3 linked regions of the Rhinolophus ferrumequinum genome follow. The protein of the gene in region 2 purifies or fractionates together with the protein of the main gene of each other region. This does not show direct contact. Links are inferred from orthologs where the notes say so. Each region holds a gene or a part of one and is shown on either strand. Other genes may lie near its edges.

Region 1 (7,596 bases), on a different chromosome or scaffold from region 2:
TAAAGGGATATATTCCATGTAAACACTTAGGATAATGCTTTTTGAACAGTAAGAATGGAATACTGTTTCCTATGTTATGTAAAAATAAACTTATTTCTGGTCATTTTCATCACCCATAAGTGGTTATAAAGGCCCAGAAAGATGGCAATCTGTAACAACTAATCTTCATAATTAATAATTACTGTACTAAATACATCTAGGCAAAATGGCAAAAAAGGGTTCACAAGTGGATAAACTAGAAATACATCTCCAAGTATTAAAAATAATCTGGGTTCTACCTCTTGTGACCTTAAAGAAATCACTCTGAACTGCAATGCAATAAATTCCAAAAGATCATATAGAAGTTTTAGGATCTATTGATCAGATCCTGTAAAATTTAATTCCAATTCCAGCAATAAAAAAAATTGCTTGGGAACCATTCCCCTCTAAAGTCACTCGTTTCAAACAAGCGAGATTACTTTGACTGAGTGCATAGCTTTTCATGTCATTGACTCATTAAAAACCCCCAGCCCTCATCACTATTAACGGACAGCTCTTTGTTAATTTACCTTAATCTTGAAATTACCTACCAAAAAGTCTATTCATTTTCCTCCTAAATCACTATTTGCTCATGTAAGTCGAGGCATCTGCAGCCCACCAGGAAAGCTGCACTGACTCGCTGGATGAATAAATCACGGCAGGTGAGCCCAGCACACAATGTTTAGCACTGCGCAGACAACTCCAACAGTCACGGTGACAGTCCCTTCCTTAGGCCAAAAACTGCCACCGGCCAAGATCTAAGACAATCACCACGTGCATTACATAATCACAACGAACTGAAATACTGTTATTCCCATTATACAGACAGGATCAGAGAGATTAGAGGGCCCATTCAAGGTCACACCTCTGACAGTGCAGGTGCCACCATTCAGACTCGAACGTTTTGTGTTGAGTTTTTTTCCCCCGAGACCAAGCTCTTTCCAGTACACGGCTAGGCTCGCGGCCCTCGGGAGCGCTTCTTGGAAACGTAGCCCTCCCCCGCCCACCGGCACAAATCTACAGGTGCGCCGCAGGTGCCGTCCGCCCGCCGGGGCCCCTGCCCCACTGAGGCCCGGACGGCCTCTCAGCTCCCTCGTCGCTGGGCCTCGCTCCAGACGGTAGCTCCAGCTGGCCCAGCCCTTCCGACCCCCGCGCCCCATTGTTCCTGATCTCACTCACCTCGGAGGATGCCGGCGCAGGCCGAGCTGGGGCGCTCGTGGCAAGCTCCCGGCGGCCCAGGAAGCTAGGGCGGTGACGACAGGATCCGCGAAGGCGTACCCGGCGACTTCTCCGCCGGGCCTCAGGAGCGGGAGCAGGCGGGGGCGCTTCACCCTCCTCGCGAGACAGCGGAGACCCCGGCGGCTGCTGCGACCCCTGTGACGTAAAGCGTTCATCACCAATGGCAGCTTGGGGGCGGCGGTAGAAGCAAAACCCACCCCGCGGCCCTCGGCGCGTCAAAACACAACACCCACCAACGTAACGCATGCGCAGTGGAAGGGCGCCGGCGAGGAAGGAGGGGCCTACGTGCTCGGCCCGAGCCCGGGTCCTTCCCCCAACGTCCACTCCCAGGAATCAGAGCGACGTGACCCCTCAGAGGCAGAAGTCACTATCATCACCGTCATGATTCTTGTTATTACTAATCTCTGAGGGTTGAAGGGGCACTAACTTAATGCTCCCTCCTAACTTACCTGGAAAATACGATAACCAACTCGGCCTCATTTAAACCCCACTAAACTGCGAGAAGTTACTAAAATGATCTCTAGTATATAAAAGAACCGAGTAACATGGAGGTGAAGTGACTTTACTTCCGATTGCACAGCTTGGTAATATCACCGGGATTCGAGTGGAATCCAAAGCCAGAGCCCAACCAGTATCCTACAGTCTTGAGAGAGACATCTACTCCAGTCTGAGGATAAACAGGGATTACCTAAGAGAAGAGCCTTGAAATCTTCCCAAAACAATGTTTTTCTCTCAAAAGACTGCTTTCCCCTTTCCCCACGCCCCGAAATCAGGATTAAAACCCTATTTAGATGACATTATGAGATGTACAGAGAAAGAACGTCTGAGCCTAAAGCGGCCCGTTGCCCCATTCTACCCTCTGGCCTCAGATACGAGCGTCCCAAACATTCTCAAGTTGAACTTGGTACAACCTGCCAAGTGCCAAACCGCCGTCCTTTGGCTTCATATTTGATACGCGCTACCGTTCTGGGCACATATTATAAACGCTCAACAAACACTTGCTGATTGGCAGGTACATTATGACAGTTAACGGTGCCAAGTTATTCTCAGAAGTTATTTACATCAAGAAGCCATTGCGTTCTGAAAGATTTGTTTCTTGAAGAAGGGTTCAATTAACAGGGATTCCCACAATGATTCGTCACTGTTAATATAAAAGTGAGTAGTATTCTTGTTTACATCAAAAATGAATATACGAACCTCTATCAATATAATGTCGGAACAGACTTAAGAAGAAACGTTAATTCTTCCAGCGTTAGACGCCGGTGCAGTATTTAAAATACGGATTAGTTTTTCAAATACACTTTTAAATGCACACGACGGTATAATATCCTGCATTAACATTTACTGCAACGGAAAGACCAATTGACGAGATACGCTTATTTAAGTGGCAAAAAAAAAAAAAAAGTAATTTCAAAACACATTTTCCCGTTTATCCCATCCCCTCGCTGAAAGGCGGGCTAGGCCCCGGATCACGTGAGCCTGCCCCCAGCTCCGGGCGGAAGAGGCCGGCCATGTCGGTGGGAAACGCTCCTGGAGGCGAGTGGGCGGGCGTTTGTGCCCGGCTGAAAGATGGCCGTCGTCGCCGCCACCGCCACCGCCGCCGCCGCCGCCGCCCGGCAGCCGCCGCCCGGGAGGTTACTCTAGGGCCTGCAGGTTCTGCCCGTGCCCGCGGACTGCCGTCGCCTCCTTACCATGAAGCCAGTGAGTCGCCGCACCCTGGACTGGATTTATTCAATGGTAGGTCCCGGGTCTGGCGAGGCCCCACAGTGTCGACTCCGTAGGCCCGCAGGCGAAGCCCCCCTATTCCTCTCAGCGCCCAGAAACTCCAAAATCCATTCCTGAATTAAGCATTTCACTCCCTCACCTCGACTCCGCCTCTTCCTGGAGGATACGCTCTTCCGCTGCTTACGTAAGGACAGCTGGGTGTACGTGCCTTGGAATCCCATTCTTTTGTCGCTGTAATTTCCGCCTTAGCAACGTGCATGGCAACCTATGGGGGGCGGGGAGGAGGTGCTGCTCACATTAGAATGAATTTTTTTGCATTTACTTCGCCTCTTGCATTTTTTTTTTTTTTTAGTTGCTCCTTGCGATAGTATTACTCTCCTGGGGATACGTCCTCTATGCATCAACAGTAGCCGCTCGACGACAGCTAAGGAAGGCGTACCCAGACAAAATCTTCGGAATGAATGAAAATTTGTAATTCCTCTAGATTTTATTCTACGCAAATACTTCTCTGGCATGTGTCTTGATTTAAAGTAAAATCCATGATAGTTTCCAATTTTATTTTTTCATACAGTCCTTTATAATAACCGATCTAATATGCTAATTTTTCAAATATTTAGGTTTGTCTTTTACATTCTTATATAACAAAGCAACCTAGATCCGACAGCCTTTGAGTATCAGATCATACATGGGATAACATGCTTTTCAACTTAAGAATGTCTAAAATACGTTTTAAATGCCCCAGAAAACCACCCTTAAAACAAAAGTGTGTGGAATTTCTATTCTTATATTTATTGCAACATTTCATTCTGTTCCATACCTACACACCAGACTAGATTAAGTACTATGTAAAAAAAAGAAAAGTGACTATTTTTCTATATCCTGTTTTCCAAGTCAAGAATGGCCAGAAAAAGTAGTTGGTTGTTCATATCATTTTTTAGCACATCCAGTTTTCATTTATTGTTAAATAATTCAGTCTCAAATTGTATAGTGTTTAGGAAGAAATAAAACAATACATATCTGAGAGTAAACTTTATTATAAAGTTACTTTTTCAGAAAATATATTCAGTAAATATGGTAATGTAGCAACAAAACTTGGGCTTATATGCCTTTGAAATTTTAAAGTAATCTTCAGTGATGTTGATCAGGAAATGCTTTCATTGGTGGAATTACTTCTCCAGTCTCCAGAATTGTATCACCCTAGGAAAACAAACATGCTTTAGTACAAAAATCTTGTCTGCAGAGGAGCATCTACTTGGTCAGACCTCACACCAAAAATCTAGTTCAGCTTTGGCCTTCATACTATAAAAGGGACTTAGGCAAAGTAGAAGCTGTCTAAATATAAGCAATCAGTATTCAAAATCTTAAGGTGTAAGTGAAAGAACGGGAAGTTTCACTCAAAATGAACAGAAAGGGCAGGCAAGTGGTCTTCACAAAATGATAAAGGGATAATGTTTATTTTGCATGGTCCCAAGAAATAGGAGAAGCCCTAGAAATAAGTTACAGGGGAACATCTTCAGCTCAACATAAGGAGGTAATGTATTCACAGTAACTAAATGTGTGTTAGGCAATCATCAATTTACCATTTGGTACAGGATAAGTAGAGACAGAATGCAAACTTTGCCTAGGTAGCTGGTTCAGGTGTCTTTTCAGACCTAGATACAGTGTGTGGTAGAAAAGACATGGATTTTGGAGCCAGAACCAAGTGATGACAATCCTGGAACCTCCACTGACAAGCTGTATAACTTGAAGCAAAAACCTTAGCTTTAGTTTCAGCTTTGTGTTCAAGAGAGCAGATTCTGTCAGCCTGAGAGTCCGTGAATGACTGGGTACAGTAGAATTATTCACCCATCACCACCCCTGCCATTTTCTGACCTGGTACTGCTCAGGACTATTATCTGATAAAGAAATACACGTTTATTATGTTTGAGCCATTATAAATTTTGGGAAGAATTTATTACCACAGCTAGCATTACCCTAACAGAAAATAGTACCCTGAAGTGGTACTAATGCTGCGGTAATAAAAATTGAAACACATAGCACTGGCTTAGTCTGGAGGCAAAGGCTGGCACTAGAGGCTGACAGGTGGAAATAAAAGGCAGTAGTAACTTGGAAACAGTCTAATGAACTTGAGGTTCTAGGAGAGGTAGCTGGGGAAAAGTTATAGTACGTGTTTACTACTAGCTGCTTTGGGAATATACTTTAGGAAACATGAGCTCAGGCCAGAAGTGGCTGATTTGAGAGGAAAAATAAAAATGGAGAGAATAAAAAATTCAGAACCTTGCAGGATTGGAAAATCAAGTTGCTTCTGAATCTAAACAGTAAGGGTTAACACTGAAGAAATTCTGAGAAACCCAATAAAACTCGGTAAACAGAGGGACTCAGCCCTATGACAAAGAACAGACTGAAGTGAAGGTAGCCTTTCAATCAGTCTATTTCAGATGGCCTCCACATAGCTGCCACTGAGTTGAGAGAGGCAGTTGCATGAGGACAAAGGAAAGAACTTGGTAACCATGTATAGAAAGCACAGATGCATGTGGGACTGACTAGAAGCAAACAGACTCCTACCAAGTATTTTCCTTTTTCTGCCTGCCAAATGTTGTGGGGAGTAGATGGTCAAAGAAACCAAATATATAGACAACAAAGGCTTATGAATGAGCTTAAAACAACCTCTGGCACTCAACCTCCTGTGAGCAGGAAGCAGATTTAAAAGGCTGTACAACCCTAAGAAGGGCATGCCTCCCAGTACCCATTTTCCATGTGGTCTAGGTAATGAAAAAGAAAGAACTCCTTGGACAGAGCCAGGGGCCAGGAAGAACAATGAACAAAGGTGTTACTTCCAGAAAACAATCTGCCCATTCAAGTCACTTCCTACACACAAGGAGTTAGGAGTCCACAATATTTGACCACAGATTTCAGAATTGCCAAGAACCAGTGACTGCACTGCTGTCCTAATTCCACCACTGAGAAATGGGTGGGATGGGGGGACAAGGGCAAGAGATACAGTTAACTTGCCTTATTTATTCACTGGTTCTCAAATCTCAAGAGAAGTCATATCTAAACATGACAGACACTACTGTGCATCACCTAGAGATCTTGGATTTGGGACTGGTTGCAGTGATGGAATAGGATTTGGGATTTCTCCCTCAGGAAGGAACTGTGTTATAGGAGTATGTGAGGGGGAAAGAAGCAAAGAGATATTTGGTGACTAGAAGGATGGACTGTGGCAGAAATTCCAGGCATGAGAGGCTGGGGGAAAAAACAACCACTACATAGCTATTTGGGACAATGAGAATGAGTTCTGGCCAACAGGATTTAAGAGAAGTGATATAAACTACTTCTAAGATTAGACCTTAAAAGCATCCCGAGATGTCCAGACCTCTTTTCTCTTAACATGCTCTTGGAAGCCTCCTAGTCCAGGTGGCATAATTACCAGATTGAGGAAGATCGCCTGATCTACGTTAGTCTGTGATATCAATAAGAAATAGCGCTTTGTATTATTAAGCCACTGAAATTTGGGAGTATGTTTGTTACTGCCCATCCTATTCTGTTAGGTTGGTGCAAAAGTAATTGCTGTTTTCACAATTATTTTTAACCTTTTAAACTGCAATTACTTTTGCACCAACCTAATAATATGTGTACAAATGAGCTTTCTTCAGGTCATCAAATGGGAAGCTTCTCAAAGGGGTCAAAGGCATAGAAATGGAAAAACCACAATGGCAAGAATAAGAAAGTAGGAGAAATGCCATGGGATCACTATGTGGTCTTCTAATGACAACCCCCTTTCTTTTCATTTGAACAATAATGACCAAATAAATAATAAACAGATATATAAATGGAAGAATAAATTGCCCAACTGGTGAAACCAGTAAGATAATTTCCTATTTTGAGACTACCGTGTTTCTCTGAAATTAAGACCTAGCCAGACAATCAGCTCTAATGCATCTTTTGGAGCAAAAATTAATATAAGACCTGATCTTATTTTACTATAAGACCGCATCTTATATAATATAATATAATATAATATAATATAATATAATTAATATAATTAATATAATATAATAGACTGGGTCTTATATTAATTTTTGCTCCAAAAGATGCATTAGAGCTGATTGTCCGGCTAGATCTTATTTTCAGGGAAACACGGAATCTAGGCCCTGACATATCAATTATACACAATAAAATATAGAAGAAATCCCCTACTATTTCCTAAAGCAGAGTTCCAACTGGAAAGGTTAGCCAATTTTGGTGGTTCTCCCTAAAATTTACTTTGGTGGTTCTCCCTAAAATTCACAGATGATGGATCACTGTGACTGTCATTTGATTGAAGCAAGAATCAACACTGAGTTTTGTTTTTTAAAATTACAGAACTTAGAGATTGATGGTATTTCATTATTTGACCAGAAATAGACAAGAACATAACATGTATTTTACTATGTTAAATAATAACCTCACAAACAATAAAACTGACTACTGTGTAATCTTTTAATGCTGAAAAGACTTATTTTAAATTAGGATAATAGGTTACATATTCATATTATAAAATTTAAGCACACATCAACAGATTTTAAATTCACAGATGGATAAGTTAAGGTCCAACTGCCCTGAGAAACGATA
Region 2 (7,231 bases):
TCTGTTGATGGCACAACCCTGCCGGCTCTGCTCTGACCTCTCGGTTTAGACGATGGACATGGACGTGCAGGCCCGAGGACGGCGGCCTGGCTCCGCTCCGACTCTCCTGCCACGGGGGGGACAGCTCAGCCTGGAAGCCGGATCTTGGCTCAGTATCCGGTTGTGGGGTTTGCAGAATTGGCTAACGGAATGATCGCCACTCATTCGATGTAAAACTGGTTCCTGGTTTGTCAGTTTTTTTATGTTTGTACATTAAAAGATTGATACATGAACCGAGTCATTTGAAGGTGATAGCTGTCCCCCTCCAGTGATGGCTTCCTGTGTCTCCCGGGCACTTTGCTCCGTGCCCGGTGCCCGCTGCAGGCTTTTCAATCACTGGCCCGCTCCTGGCTCACACCAACCCTGTCAGGTGGTTGTTGCTCCATTTACAGGGGAGAATGTTAGGTACTGGGGTACAGGGGCTGCCCCAGGTCTGGTTCCACTGCCCAGGCCCTCAGCTCTGCCCTGGTGAGACGGGACACGCCTGCCCCTGGAGCACACCTGCTCTGCGTCCTGTGCGACACGAGCAGTTTGTGATGGGTGCAGGTTCTTCAGCCATTTCCCGGCCTCTCCGCCAGCTCCTTTCCCCTTTCGTGCCACCAAAAAGGTGAATCTTGGGGCTGGCAGAGCTCAGGTGCCCCCTAGGCTGACGGAACACCCTTTTGCTCCCTAGAGAAATCTTCCAGGTGATGCAACACATCACCGTCCCGTCTGTGTGTGAATACCTCGCCGCTTTATGTGACTAACTGTCCATTCTCTTTTCAATTTTACTTTTGCAGTTTTATTGAGATATAATTGACATATAATTGACTATCCAATTTGTTGGTGAACAACCCAAATTAAGAGAAAGTGGTGTGGGCCGGCCCAGTGGTTCAGGCAGTTGGAGCTCCGTGCTCCTAACTCCGAAGGCGGTTCGATTCCCACATGGGCCAGTGGGCTCTCAACCACAAGGTTGCCAGTTCAATTCCTCGAGTCCCGCAAGGGATGGTGGGCAGTGCCTTCTGCAACTAAGATTGAACACGGCACCTTGAGCTGAGCTGCTGCTGAGCTCCCGAATGGCTCGGTTGGAGCACATCCTCTCAACCAGTAGGTTGCCGGTTCGATTCCTCGACTCCCGCAAGGGATGGTGGGCAGCGCCCCCTGCAACTAGCAATGGCAACAGGACCTGGAGCTGAGCTGTGTCCTCCACAACTAAGACTGAAAGGACAACAACTTGATTTGGGAAAAAGCCCTGGAAGTACACACTGTTCCCCAATGAAGTCCTGTTCCCCTTCCCCAATAAAAAGAAAAGAAAAGAAAGAGAACATGGGGCGTGGTTTTTTATTAAATTAATTAATTTATTTTTTGAGCCTCTTAAATAGAATTTTAAAATCTTTAAGTCATTCAAGTACATGATTCCAAAAGTGCCATCCAGGCAGGAAAGCAGGGACAATACTGAAGTCGGTGGACCCATCCCGCGTCCAGCCCCGTATTCTGCTCCCCAGAGGCAGCCGCCGAGCAGGTTCTGGGCTCTCCTGCCAGGCGGTCTGCGTGCGCACACGGGGTGTCTCTGTCGCACTCACACCGGTGCTGCCGCTTTGCTCTGGCTGCTGTGACTCGCTGTGTCTTAGAGAGGGCTCCGTACTGCCACACACAGGATTAGAAACAGCCAGGTAGCCTCCTGACTCCTTTCCGTATATGAATCCCCTACTCCTTGCAACCACTGCGAGGCAGGTACACCTACTCTCCCCAGGAACAGAGGCTCAGGCAGGACCTCCTGTCTCCTAGTCACTGGCTGGACCTCCTCCCTGTTGTGACGCCTCTCAGTGCCCTAGATGTGTCACCCCGCCAGCCCTTGCTGTGCAGAAAGCTGAGAAAATGCGTATTTGGGTGTTTCAGGCAGGCAAGGAGAAGGGGGTGGGATGGGTTTGGGGTGAACCATCCAGCGATGTCTGCCCCAGGCAGGAAGCCTCGTGTCCCCTCTGAGAGGGCAGTGTCCTTACACTGTGCCCCGTGGTCTTACAGCTGCAACTGGGGTCTGAGTCGTTAGATGGGAGCAGGTTTCTCCGGAGAACTGTCTTGCTTGCAGTTGTTAATAGTGTCTGAAGTTCTGTACCGTGTGGCTGGCGCTCTGTAAAGAATACACTCACTAGATGAAACAGAAATCCAGTTAGCAGGCTTTGCTGCAGGTGACAGAAATCCAGCTTGAAGTGGTTTAAGCAAAAAGGGGCGTTTTGTTGGTTGGCGTCTGTGGTGGCTTCTGAATCCCGGAGTGAGCCAGTTCACTCTGCCTGAGGCCACAGTTCTTAGTCACTCTGACCCACCTGGGTGCGGGCAGACTTGAAATGACTCAGACAAGCATTGCTCCTACACAGTGCGTCCTTGGGAGTTTCTCACCGTAAAGAAGGGAACTTGGTGGCTGGGGAGCTCTGTCTCAGCATCCAGATCTGGCTGGTGAGAGCCCACAGTGGGCCCAGGACCTGGCGCCTTAGCCACGTCGACGCCCTGAGCCGCTGTCCAGCACACCTGGGCGGCTGCAGTGGCGGGGCAGGTCGAGCTGGCTCATCTCCGGGGCAGCGTCTGAGGAGCTGCAGGGCTGGGGAGCTGCAGTGGCACTGGCAGTGGGGGGACAATATGTCCAGAGGCCTGCTGGTTTCAAAACAGGTGTCAGCAGAATGCTCTCCCAGCCTGGACCCATTCCCGTAAGTCCATGGTCACAGAAGCACTTGTCGAGCCCCCAGGGGCGGCGCTGTGCTTTTGTAGACCGCGCCCTGCTGCCCTTCAGGGCAGGGAAGATAGAGCCGGCTCATGCTGCGTCGCTCAGTCATGCAGTGAACAGTTAGTTCCCTGAGCCTCTGCCGAGTGCCAGGCACTGCCCTGGGTCCCGGAGGCACAGTGGAGAAGGAGATGGAGCCAGGCCCTGCCCGTCGGGAGCGGACAGCTTAGTGGGAGACACACGAGCGGTCTCTCGTGGAGGCTGAGAGCTGCGTCCCAAAGGCCATCACAGTGCTGAAGGGCGTGGGCGCTGGACATGGCAGATCAGCTCCCAGCTCTGCACGTCCGGACAAGCTGTCTCCCCGACGAACCTCAGATGTCTCGTCCATCAAATGGGGAACATGTATAGGGACTGTGAAGGTCAGTTCCGTGCACGGTGGGATTCGGCTGTCTTGCTTTTTGCCACCAGTGAATTAGAATTTAAATTCTTTGAGAAGTGGAACCAGAGCAAGTCTCCATAACTGACGATTTTTGCTGGCATGGTTTCTGTCTATTGGAGCCTCTGGAAAGGGAGACAACATGAAAAGAGAGTCAATCCTTGGATGGAAATACACATTTGGAATTTGAAAAAGCAGTCGAATTGCTATTGAGCCCTTGCTGAATGAAATCTAATGTCTGAGCCAGACTGGTTGATGGCTGTCCAGTCGGATGTGTGTATTTCTGAGTGGGTCAGTTTGGACTCAGACTGACAAGATGAAAAGGAAGCCTCGCTTCTCACTTGGGCTTGGACCATGGCTGTCTGGCACTCAGCTTCTGCCTCTGCTGCTGCAGAAGAAAAGCCGCTGGCTCCCTGGGAATCCCGAATTCACTGATCCTGGTTGGTGGGGCCTGACTGGAAGCTGAAAACAGACCGGCCGCCATGCTCTGTGCCTGCTTCCCCGGGATCTGCGCGGGACTGGACTAGGCCCAGGACCACAGGAGACCTAGGACCTTTCGGAATCATGGACACACACATCGCAGCTGCCAGCTGGACCATCTGGGTCACATACAGATGCCCACAGCAAAGGGTTTGTTCTCTGATGGGACCCTTGAAATCAAGCTGCTGACCGGCCGTTTCTCTCTGCTGCAGAGGCGAATTGCATCCTGAGTTGTGATCCCTGCCAAAAGCTGCCAATCGGGGGAGGCCACATCGTGGGGACTGTGACCCCTCCTCCTGCTTTTGACACATGAGCCTCTGGGCCCCCTCTGGGGAACAGCTCACTGTTCTGCTTCTGGATTATTTGCAACTTGGCACAGCGGCCAATGGCCTGACTCTGCCTCCCCACTTTCCCTGGAACAGACACTGGGTAAGGTAGGTTGATTACTCCAGTGTGGCTGTTTCTAGGAGGCGATTCGTCTTTTCTAGGCTGCTCTCTGGATAAAAGGGGGAGGAGGTTATGGAGAAGCTTTTTGAAATTGTTGAGAATTCAGGATTTCATCCTCTCTGAGTCTGCGCAGGCTGCTGTAACCAAATAGCGCAGACGGGAGGGCTTCAACCGCAGAGATTGATTGTCTCTCAGTTCTAGAGGCCGGAAGTCCAAGATCAAGGTGTCAGCAAGTTTGGCTTCTCTTGAGGCCTCTGTCCTTGGTTTCTCCTGTGTCCTCACGTGGTCACCCCTCTGTCTGTGCGTCTGTGTCCTGCGCTCTTCTAAGGACACCTGTCATATTGGATTAGGGCTACCCTAAGGACCCCGTTTTATCTTAGGCACCGCTCTAAAGGCCCCATCTCCAATACAGTCCTGTTCTGAGTTATTGGGGTTGGGGCTGCAGCACGTGAATTTTGGGGGACAACAATTCAGTGCATAGCACATCTTGACCAATTCCTGAACACGTCTTTCTGGTTACTTGCTTTTATGCCTTTTGCGCACAGTCCTTCCAGATGGAAGGCCTGGATTCGAGTAAGAGGTGACTGACAAATGCAGACTTAGGATTGCGGATGGGCCGGACACGCTGCTTTTGTAACAGTGGAGCAAAAGCAAAAACCTGGCCCCGGGGAGCCTTGGGCAGGTGGAGGGCATTTCATATCTTTGTTCTGCAGAACTCCTCCTGGAAGCCCTCCCTTGAGCACGACCTGGGGGGCACAGCTGGCAGCACCATGACCTTACTGTCCACGCAGATCCCCTCCAGGTGCCATCCACACTCATGTGATGGATAAACTGGTATCCTGGGCAAGCAACACTGTGTGGAACTGGCTCCCATTGGGCTCCCGCAGGCTCCCCATATGCAGTCCCTCGGAAACCGAGGACTGGACCAGTTTCTCAGACTGGACTGGCAACCCCAGGGCAGGGCCCCATGATAGGAGGGAGGCGTCCCGGGGGACCTATGAACCTCTGCTGCCTGACTAGTGTACGTCCCTCCTGGGGTACCCTAACATCCCCAGCTCGTTTCTGGGGGGCTGCATGTGTCCTCTGGGTCACACTGTGTGTGCCCATCACCATGCTGGTTCAGGCTGCAGGTCAGCCCGGACTCCCTGGCCACAGCTGTGCTGTACCGGCCTCAGTGCCTGGGGTAAAACGACTCCCAGAGACCAAGGAGCAGGCCACCTGGCTTTCGAAGGTGGGCTTTTATGGTGAGCGGGGTTCTTTGATTTTAACTGGCTAATCCAGGACCCTAAGAGGTACTGAGATCAGTCCTGCAGGTTGGCCTGACCCTTCTGTGTGATCCTGGTGCAAAGGCACCTGGGCCAAGGGGTGAGCTTGCAGAAAAGGTAACAGCAGGCCTGAGGCTGCTCTCCTTACGAAGGCCTGCTGCGGGTTGGCCCTCGGCTGGCGCCTGGGAACTTGGACTGGGGGAGGCTTCTCACCGTTCCCTACAGGACGAGCAGCTCACTCTGCCTGAGCTGTGTGTGTAGACTGTGGTTTTGTTGAATACCTGCTTTCCTGTGGTAATCTGGAATCCGGTGTGCCCGGCAGGGGGCGCTACGTGAGCAGCCCCGGTAAAGCCCTGGGCACCGAGTCAGCTCCCCTGGTAGACACCATTTGGCATGTGTGGTCACAGCTCATTGCTGGGGAATTCAACATGTGTGACCCCACTGGGAGAGAACTCCGGGGAGCCTGTGCCTGCTTCCCTCCGGACTTGGCTTTCTGTGCCTTTCCCCTGGCTGATTTTGCTTCCTAGTCTTTCGCTGTAATGTCATCAAACGAGGAGGTGGCCTTGGGGACCCCCAACACAGGGCACAGGGGACTTCTGGGTGTCAGCAGCGTTCTTTCTCAGTCTGTTTACATGGGTGTGTCCAGTGTGTGAAACGTCGCCGAGCTGTGCAATTATGATATGTACACCTTTTCTGTACGTAGAATCAACTTCAACAAAAAGATGAAATAGAAGACTACACACCACGAGGATAAAGAATAATAACTTAATTTTTTGTTTAAACTCCCTTTTATTCAGCAAACGTTTGTCACCCCTTTTTACCTGGCGTTGCTCTGGGAGCCTGGGACATGGGGTAGGAGGGACGTCATCACCTCCTCTCAGTTTGTTGGGAGGCAGCTAAAGAGCGACTCAGAACGTGGGGGTTCTTGTTAGGCTCCATCAAACGCCTCGTGGGGCGCTAGGGACACAGAGAAGGGCTTCTGACTTGGGTGATTTGCCAGGGTTGCCACTCATGTATCTATGGAAGCCAGACAGTCAAAGGGGCAAAGGGGCCACAGCGGGGACCAGTGACAAGCTGGGAAAGTATGGAGGCATAGCATTGCCAGAGCTGCTAGCTTTTTTCAGGAAAAGCCACAGACCTGGATTTTTATGTGAGCTCTGTTGATTTTTGAGTGCTGTAAAATGAGTCATTTTAAAAAGGGAGGAGCCAGAGTTGGCCTCGGCCTACCGGTTGCCAGGCACTGTGCCAACCGGTCTGCTCCCTGGGCACTGGGAAATCCAGCCTTGAGCAAGCCAGACCTGCTGGCACGGTGGAGCCCTGCACGGTGCTTCTGAAACCTGTGTGTGTGTAGGACTCGTTAGGCAGATGGAAAGGCAGGTTCTCCCGGCAGGTCTGCCCTGGGCCTTGAGTGGGGTCTAACAAGCTCCCAGGTGAGGGTGATCCCGGCGGCCCCTGCACCGCGGGTTAAGTAGAGCTGCTCCGTAAGCCAGAAGGTTCCAGGAGCAGCCAGTGCTGGCAGGACGGGAGGAGGGGCCTTGCCCTGAACGTGCAAATTCCTGGCCAGCATCCTGGTTTTGCTTCGGTTTTAGTTTATTTGGGGTGTCGCAGGAGAGAGCTGATGGCGTGGGAGGCTTGTGCCAAGGCTCTCCCAGGCTACCTCTTGGCGCTGCCCGGTCTGTATCCGGAGGTTAAGTTCTAGAAGGCGGGTGGGTGTGGAGGAAGGTGTAGGGAAGCTTCCTGGAGGAGGTGCCTGTGAGCGCAGGAGCGTCCCAGGCGGCGGAGAAAGGGAGAAACCCCCCACTCCCGCTCTCCTCGGGTTGGCTGCCCAGCCACCCCACGTGGCTGCTGTGGGTGAGCCCCCGTCACTCA
Region 3 (7,457 bases), on a different chromosome or scaffold from region 2:
TGGTTATAATTTCCCAGTCTCTCCCATGGCATTTTCCTTCTCAGCTTCCCGTTAAATGTTGATATTCCCCAGCGTTTTATGCTTGGACCTGCCTTCTTCTTTTTCTTCAGATGCTTTTTGAGTGACTGCATCTACTTCCAAAACTTCCCCACCATCTCTTGTGAGGATTTTTCAATCTGTTTCTGCTGCCCAAATCTCTCCTAAACTTGAGAAGAAAAAAATCCTGTTAATTTCAACACACCTTTGCTTATCCAATTTTTTAAATAGAGTGGTTTCATTTTATAATGTTCTTGAAATATGTTTTGCTCAAAACCTTGGAGCTGAAGACTTAGGTTATTCAATGTCTAGAAAATGTCCACCACATAACCCACTTAGTAAAGGTTGTTCTCATTGTAAATCAATCAGATAAATCACACTTACTGTTTTGTTAGGAAAAAAATAATCCAACTTTGTTTTTCAGTTCAAACAAACATGGTAATACCTGTTTCAAGAAATAGTCTAAAAGCCACTGGGAGACAAAATATGGAACACATTTTGTAAAACTGATGATTATAAAAGCAATCAAATAAATATTAAAATCATACATATATAAAATATTAACTAATCAATTTTTATAATAGCTGTAAAACACAAGTAAAATTATATGCAGTTTCTCATTTCTTAATTAACAATATAATGTAGGGTACAGTTAAAATGATGTTATTATGAATTGAGAAGTATTATGGAAGTTTTAAATATTTTTTCAGTACTGTGTGTATGTAATTCTGGTATTCAGCTTTTTGAAAAAATTAAATAAGTATTATATAAAAATAGGTAAAAACTGCCATCAATCCTACTGCTCTCTCCACTAATTTGATAGACATCATGATCAAACTTCTCATATTTTTAAGTAACTAAAGAGGAAGACAAATGACTAAAAATACATTTAGTCATTTATTGTTAAAAGTAATTTATCACAGCTAGCATATAATTTTCTTACTTTGTTAATAAGAGGTAGGATATGTTAAATATTTTGTAAGATGAAGATTAACCGTGTTTGGAAGAAACTTTTTCTAATATGATTTGATAAATATCTTACTGAATATTGCATATCACCTAAAATAAATCATGTAAAAATTTAATCTGCTGACTTTATTCAAAGTAAGTTGAAGTGTTAGTTAGGAAAATATTAGTTAGATTTAAAAGAATCAGTATCATCAACCCATACTGCTACAGCTGTTTGAAGGAATTTTCCTTCTAAGCCAAACATACGTCTCAGGAAAAAGAGCCTTTCTGTTGTAGAGAGTCATTCTGAAATAGCTACATATGAAATGATACGGTATCTAGGATTTGCTTCAAAACTATAAGGGAGTGGTGAGAACTGTGCTTTGCCTCTGTGCTTTACCTCCCAAAGCACAGTCTAAGCAAAAGAAAAACATCAGACAAATCCCAATTGAGAGATGTTTTGCAAAATACCTGAGCAGTATACCTTAAAACTATCAATGTCATCAAAACCAAGGAAAGTCTGAGAAATTTCAAAGAGCAGAGGAGACTAAGCAGACGGGACAACTCAATGTAATGTGGTGTCCTGGATGGGGTCCTGGAAAAGAAAAAGTACATTAGAGGAAAACTAGTGAAATCCAACTAATGTATGGAGTTTAGCTAATAGTACTGTACCAAAGTTAGTTCTTTAGTTGTGACAAATGTACTACAGTAAAGTAAAATGTTAACAGTAGGGGGAAATGGGCACAGAATAATGTATGAGAACTCTGTACTATCTTTTGCAACTTTTAGTATCTAGATAATTTAAAATAAAAATATTAAGATAATAACAATGTAGAGGGAAAAGTAGATGGAGTGTGTGGTTTGGACAGGATTGGCCACACGTTGATGGTTATTGGGGTTATATAATGGGAGTTCATTATATACTATTTAGACTATTATAAAATAAAAATGGCGTTATTTTATTATTCTACATTTGTGTATGTTTGAAATTCTATTATAAGAAGGTTAAGAAAAGAACATATATTGTGTTGGGGGTCCACAAAACCATCCTCAGTTTCAATGATTTGCTAGGACTCGCAGGACTCAATATATAAAATTGTACTCACAGCTATGATTTGTTACAGCTAAAGGGTAGAAGATAAAATCAGCAAAGGGAAAAGGTATATGGGACAGGCAAAGTCCAGAGGAAACTAAGTACAAGCTTCCTAGAGTCCTCTCCCTATGGACTCATATAGAACGCACCAATTTCTCCCCAGCATCAAACCATGACAGTACACATACCACATTTTCTACCAGGAAAGCTCATTAGAAAAGCCCAGAGTTTTTCTTGGTGCTGTTCAATAGGCACTGTCTACCTAGCACATATCAAGATTCCAAATACTACTCAGAAGATGTTCAGCACAAACCACATTGTTTGTACAAACGTTTTAGGCACAGTGAGCCATCCTTATCATTTATGGGAGGTGTCATATGATACCAGTGTAGGGAACTCTTTACCAGTCAAGCTCCCAAATGCTAGCCAGTGCTCAACCTTGCAAGCAGGCCCTTCTAAGGACAGCAGTCTCAGGCCTACACACACACACACACACACACACACACACACACACGGAGGCGTACAACTCCTGGGATATAGCACAGAGCTGCTTCATAACCCACACCTTCCTCCTGAGGTATCCCACAACCCTCACTTGGAGACCTCATCTGCTATTCTGGTCCAGAGGTGATGTCTGAAGGTGGAAGAGAGGACCTGTGAGGTGTGTAAGGTTGAAAAGAGGAAGTCTCAACTTTCTCTCAAATGGGCATAGCTGCAAATTAGCCTGTAATTCTACACTCTTGTTCTTTGCTTTTTTTTTTCCTTTGGTATGTGGGACTTTAGTTTTGAGAAATCTACCCCGAGAATAGAAGATGAAGAGAAGGTAAAAAATGGAAAAGAAAAGAATGAGGCCTTTTGAGAGTATTAGGCAACCTGGTCAGCATACTACTCCTAAATATCTCCTGGATCCATTCCTAGTAGATGAGGGGTGTGAATAGCATGAAGCAGGGTGAGTTTGAGGTTCCTAAAATACATACAAGTAGTGATGTCCACAGGCAGGCAGATTCTGGAGCTGGGGAAGGGTTGAGGGATGGACACAGAGCCTCAAGGGTTCTCATCCTCTTCAAATGAGGTAATACATACAATCTCCCATCCATGACAGTACACTAGCAATGAGCATTTTTGTTAAACCTTGTGAATATCTTGTGAAGTGTGTGTTAAAAGAATTACTATAACTTCTGTCACCCTCTTTGACATTGAAAACATTTTTTTAATGTGCTGAAGGCCTCAAAAATTGAAAGTGGTCCAGGCTTCTCTTAAACTCTTGGAGGCTCAAGAAACAGTATCAGCTGTTGACACACATTTGTAAGTCATCAGCACCCAGATGTTAATTGAAGCCAAGGGACTGAAGGGAGTAGCCCAAGAGAGCTCCTTTATGGGAAAGGAAGGCTCTGGGACTAGAATATTTAAGGGACTCACTGAAGAAGACTTGGCGCTTATAAAGGAGGCTAAACAAGAATGGCCAAAGAGATAGGAGAAAAACCAAGTGAAACGAAGTCGGAGAAAGATGACCAAAGAAAGGGGAAGAAAAATCAGGAGGTCACAAGCAAGGAGTGCGTTGAAGAGAGCAATTAATCAACAGAGTCAAATATTTCGCTGATTTTCCCGGGTCAGCATTGCCAGCATAACTATGCCAACTCCCCATGCCCGGTACTGTGTGTACATCCATGTTCGCTCTTTTAATGTTTTACCCTGGTTTACAGTTTATTTCCTCCGATGAGACGGCCCAAGCTGAGGGTCTGACTCTTACTCATTTTTCTCTTCCATAAAGCCCTACGCTTACTGCTCAATTAATGTCAGTGGAATGATGTGAAGAACATTTGAAAAGCCACACAAACAACGATATGGCCTTTTTAACATGCTCTAGAAGCCAGATTCCCCAGGACCCAACCACACTGCGCAGACGCACAGGCAGACACCCCCCCACACACACACACACACACCCCGTTTCAGCAGGTTTTTGCTTTTGGCGCGAAATCCCCGCTTCGTGGGCGGGACTAAGGGAGAGGTCTCAGCGTTCTTCCGGAAAGTTTGGCGCGAAATCTCCGTGCTCCTGCTTCGCGATTGGCTGCGGCCGGCCCGGGCCACGACGGGCGGAGCTGCGGCGGCGGCGGCGGCGGTAAGCGCAAAGCCGCCGCGTCGGGGAGAGGCGACTCGTGGCGGCCCAGCGTGTCGGCGCCTGCCCCTCGGCGCTGCACAGCCATGGACCTCGCGGCGGCAGCGGAGCCGGGCGCCGGCAGCCAGCGCCTGGAAGTCCGTGACGAGGTGGCGGAGAAGTGCCAGAAGCTCTTCCTGGACTTCTTGGAGGAGTAAGTCCGCGGTCTGCCCTTTCTCGCCGAACTTCCCCGAGCATCCCCTCCCAGCTTTAGGAACCCGGGAAGCCCCGTGCCCGAGGGCAGGGTTAAGGTGTGTGGCCGGCGGTTGTTCCGGAACCGCGATCGCGCGCCTTGGGGAGCGGCCCGAGCCCCAGTTGGGGCTTAGCCAGGCCCCCGCTAGGAGCTAGGACCGGCTGGCTTGGTTTGCAAGGGTGAAATCCATGGCAAACCCTTCCTCAGGCTCTTCTTGTGCCCCAGGCTAAGCGCTTTACTCCACCATTCAGTCTTCACTACCTTAAGGCTGGTGGTCGTGTCGCCCCCGATCACCTGTGCGGAAATTGAGGCCCCGGGACGGTAAGTGACGTCCGGCTACGCCACGCGTGGGCAGGGTCGAGCGAGAAGCCGAACTGGCACTGGAATCATGGCAGACGCCCGAAGGGACTGCACAGCCAGGACCCTGGTGTTGGCACCCAGGTCCCTGGCAACCCGGGAGCCTGTGGAGATGAAAGGACTAGAGTGTTCCCTGTGGTTTAACGTGCTGGGGTGAGGGTGAGCCTTACCCTGCTTAGAAGTAGCTGAACATTCTCCTTTCCGTCCTTTCCTTCCAAACCCCGCCCCCCACTTCTTTTTCCGTTGCCTTCTGGGCTCCTGGCCTCTCGTACCCCCGCTCCCCGGTTCGATGCCACTGCGGCCAGTTAACTGTTCTTAGTGTAGATACTCACTTCTTTATTTGAGAGTGTGGATTCTGCTGCCTCGGGATGAAAGGTAAACATTTTGGAATGTCCTATGAATCCTTTATTTACTTGAAAAATATACATCACATAAAATTTACCACTTAAATGTACCACTGTAAGCTTTTTTAAGTGTAGAGTTCAGTGGCATTAAGTACATTCGCCTTGTTATGCAGCCATTATCACCATCCTTCGCCAGAACTCTTCCCAGACTGAAACTAGGCACCCAATAAACAATTACTCCTTTCCCGGCACCCCCTCAGCACCTGACAACCACCATTCTGTTCTCTGCCTGTGCGGGTGACAATACCTCATGTGCTTGGAATCATTAAGTATGCGTCTTTTTGTGACCAGCTTATTTCACTTAGCATCCATGTTGTAGCGTGTGCCAGAATTTCCTTTTTAAGGCTGAATAATATTCCATTGTATGTATATACCACATTTTCTGTGTCCATTCATATGTCCGTGGACATTTGGGTTGTTTCCACTTTTATTGTGAATAATTCTGTATTACAAAATTGTGATTTACTTAAAACCATAATTTATATTTCCCTACCTTCGGCAATGTTATTCTCTGCGTGACAGATATTCATCCTTCAAAGCTCAGTTAAAGATTCACACCTCCTTTGTGAAACCTGATAAACCGATCAGACAACACCAAACCTTTTTTCCCTTATGTTCCCAAGTTGCCCTTTTCCATTATATCTGGTAATATCGTTTCCAGTATCTTTACCTGTCAGCCACTTCATCTTCAAGGTAAATCCCATCCTTAACCCCACCTAGCCACCACACCACATTACTGAGGTCCTCAATGAATGTTTCATTTCAATGATATCATTACCTTCACTACCTTGCAGTTTACCATGCAGCTAGATGCTAGGGATGATGATGAACAAAACAAATAATCCCTGTCCTTCGTTGGGGAAAAAATGCTAACTCTCTTTAAAAATACCAACTTTGATTTGCCATTGCTTATGGAAAAAGTCCAAATTCTTCACAGCTCCTCTCTTCAGTTTCATCTCCCACAGCCAGCCTGTCATCATCCACCTTCCTTCCAGACCTTTTCTTACTGCCACGTACTTGTAGACATCTGTAACCAGTCTATCTACTGCTTGTTTTTCAGATTTTAAGTCTTTCCAGGCTGAATTCCAGTGCCACCTTTTAGATGCATGAAGCCTTTCTAGATGTTAGGTAGAATTACTTTATGTTCCCCTATCACATTTCTTGCACTTCCCCCATTTTTTTCCTTTTTTCTTCTATTATGGAAAGAACACTTACATGAGATCTACCCTCTTTACAAATTTTTAACTGCAATATATTGTTGAGTATAGGTACAGGGTTGTTGTACAGTAGATCTGTTAGAGTTTATTCATCTTCCTTGAGTGAAACTTTTTACCTGTTGATTAGTACCTCAACGTTTTCCACCTTCCTTCAGCCTGGCAATGACCATCCCACTTTTTGATTGTATGAATTTGACTATTTTAGGTGTCTAATGTAAGTAGAATCATTATTTCACTTAGCATAATGTCCTGAGGGTTCATCCATATTGACACATGTAGCAGAATTTCCTTTTTTAAGGCTGAATAGTATTCCACTGTATGTGCATACCACATTTTTTTAAATCATTTGTGATGGACATTTAGGTTGTCTTGTACCTCTCTTTAGTAGGAGTGTCTCCTGAGAGTGTCAACCCTAAGGCAGGAACAGCACTCATCTGCAGCTTCAGTTACATAGTGCTTTTGCAGAGTCGTTCAGTAAATCTTAACAGAGTTAGAACATGCTGTATTTGAAGGAGGAATTGATTTTGCCTCAAAACTGATCTGCATATTATGTTAAAAGAACGAAAAGCAAATATGTTTGTATGATACTTTTAGAAAAAACACACCAGCTTTATTTTGTGTGTATGTTCCCATTTTTCTGAGGTCTTGGGCAGTGAAGAACCTTATTTCTGTGTATTTTTATTCTGTTCGGTTTTTTCCCCCTTCTTCCGCCTCCCCCGCCACACACACACACACACACACACACACACACACACTCTGGTTCAAGCTGTTGTTTCTCAGTCTAGTTGTGTAGGACACAGCTCCCTGGCCCATGCTGGTCTTACGAGGTTTGCGTGTGTTGTCGTCCCCCCCCCATGCAGTCGGTTGCCAGTCGTCAGCAGCCAGTTGCTGGTCGTTGGTCTGTCGGCTGCCAGCTACCAGCTGCTCACGGCAGCCCAGCTCCAGGGAGAGCTGTTCACAATCTTAGCTGTAGAGAGCGCAGCTCACTGGCCCATGTGGGAATCGAACCGGTGACCTAGGAGCATGGCGCTCCAACCACCTGAGCCACCAGGCA

The links. The genes of interacting proteins can lie anywhere in the genome.
Region 1: the proteins of PLK1 (region 2) and TOPORS purify together in Homo sapiens (affinity purification with western blotting; 3 studies listed by BioGRID). This does not show direct contact. The link is inferred for Rhinolophus ferrumequinum from reciprocal best matches to the Homo sapiens genes PLK1 and TOPORS.
Region 3: the proteins of PLK1 (region 2) and MCM6 purify together in Homo sapiens (affinity purification with mass spectrometry; 3 studies listed by BioGRID and IntAct, with this or other methods). This does not show direct contact. The link is inferred for Rhinolophus ferrumequinum from reciprocal best matches to the Homo sapiens genes PLK1 and MCM6.

The regions. Positions count from the first base shown.
Region 1 is NC_046295.1:49,892,225-49,899,820, forward strand, and holds the start of TOPORS (E3 ubiquitin-protein ligase Topors), read right to left. Parts: upstream 3,305-7,596; 5' UTR 3,242-3,304; coding exon 3,122-3,241; exon of another isoform or gene 2,995-3,121; coding exon of another isoform or gene 2,710-2,994; intron 1,393-2,709; coding exon 1,198-1,392; intron 1-1,197. Other genes in the region: uncharacterized protein LOC117032445, read left to right, coding at 2,710-2,994, 3,335-3,447; NDUFB6 (NADH dehydrogenase [ubiquinone] 1 beta subcomplex subunit 6), read right to left, coding at 4,111-4,179. UniProt on the Homo sapiens protein: Functions as an E3 ubiquitin-protein ligase and as an E3 SUMO1-protein ligase. Probable tumor suppressor involved in cell growth, cell proliferation and apoptosis that regulates p53/TP53 stability through ubiquitin-dependent degradation.
Region 2 is NW_022680357.1:17,556,365-17,563,595, forward strand, and holds the start of PLK1 (serine/threonine-protein kinase PLK1), read left to right. Parts: upstream 1-4,153; 5' UTR 4,154-7,231. UniProt on the Homo sapiens protein: Serine/threonine-protein kinase that performs several important functions throughout M phase of the cell cycle, including the regulation of centrosome maturation and spindle assembly, the removal of cohesins from chromosome arms, the inactivation of anaphase-promoting complex/cyclosome (APC/C) inhibitors, and the regulation of mitotic exit and cytokinesis.
Region 3 is NC_046291.1:82,501,502-82,508,958, forward strand, and holds the start of MCM6 (DNA replication licensing factor MCM6), read left to right. Parts: upstream 1-4,153; 5' UTR 4,154-4,279; coding exon 4,280-4,386; intron 4,387-7,457. UniProt on the Homo sapiens protein: Acts as a component of the MCM2-7 complex (MCM complex) which is the replicative helicase essential for 'once per cell cycle' DNA replication initiation and elongation in eukaryotic cells.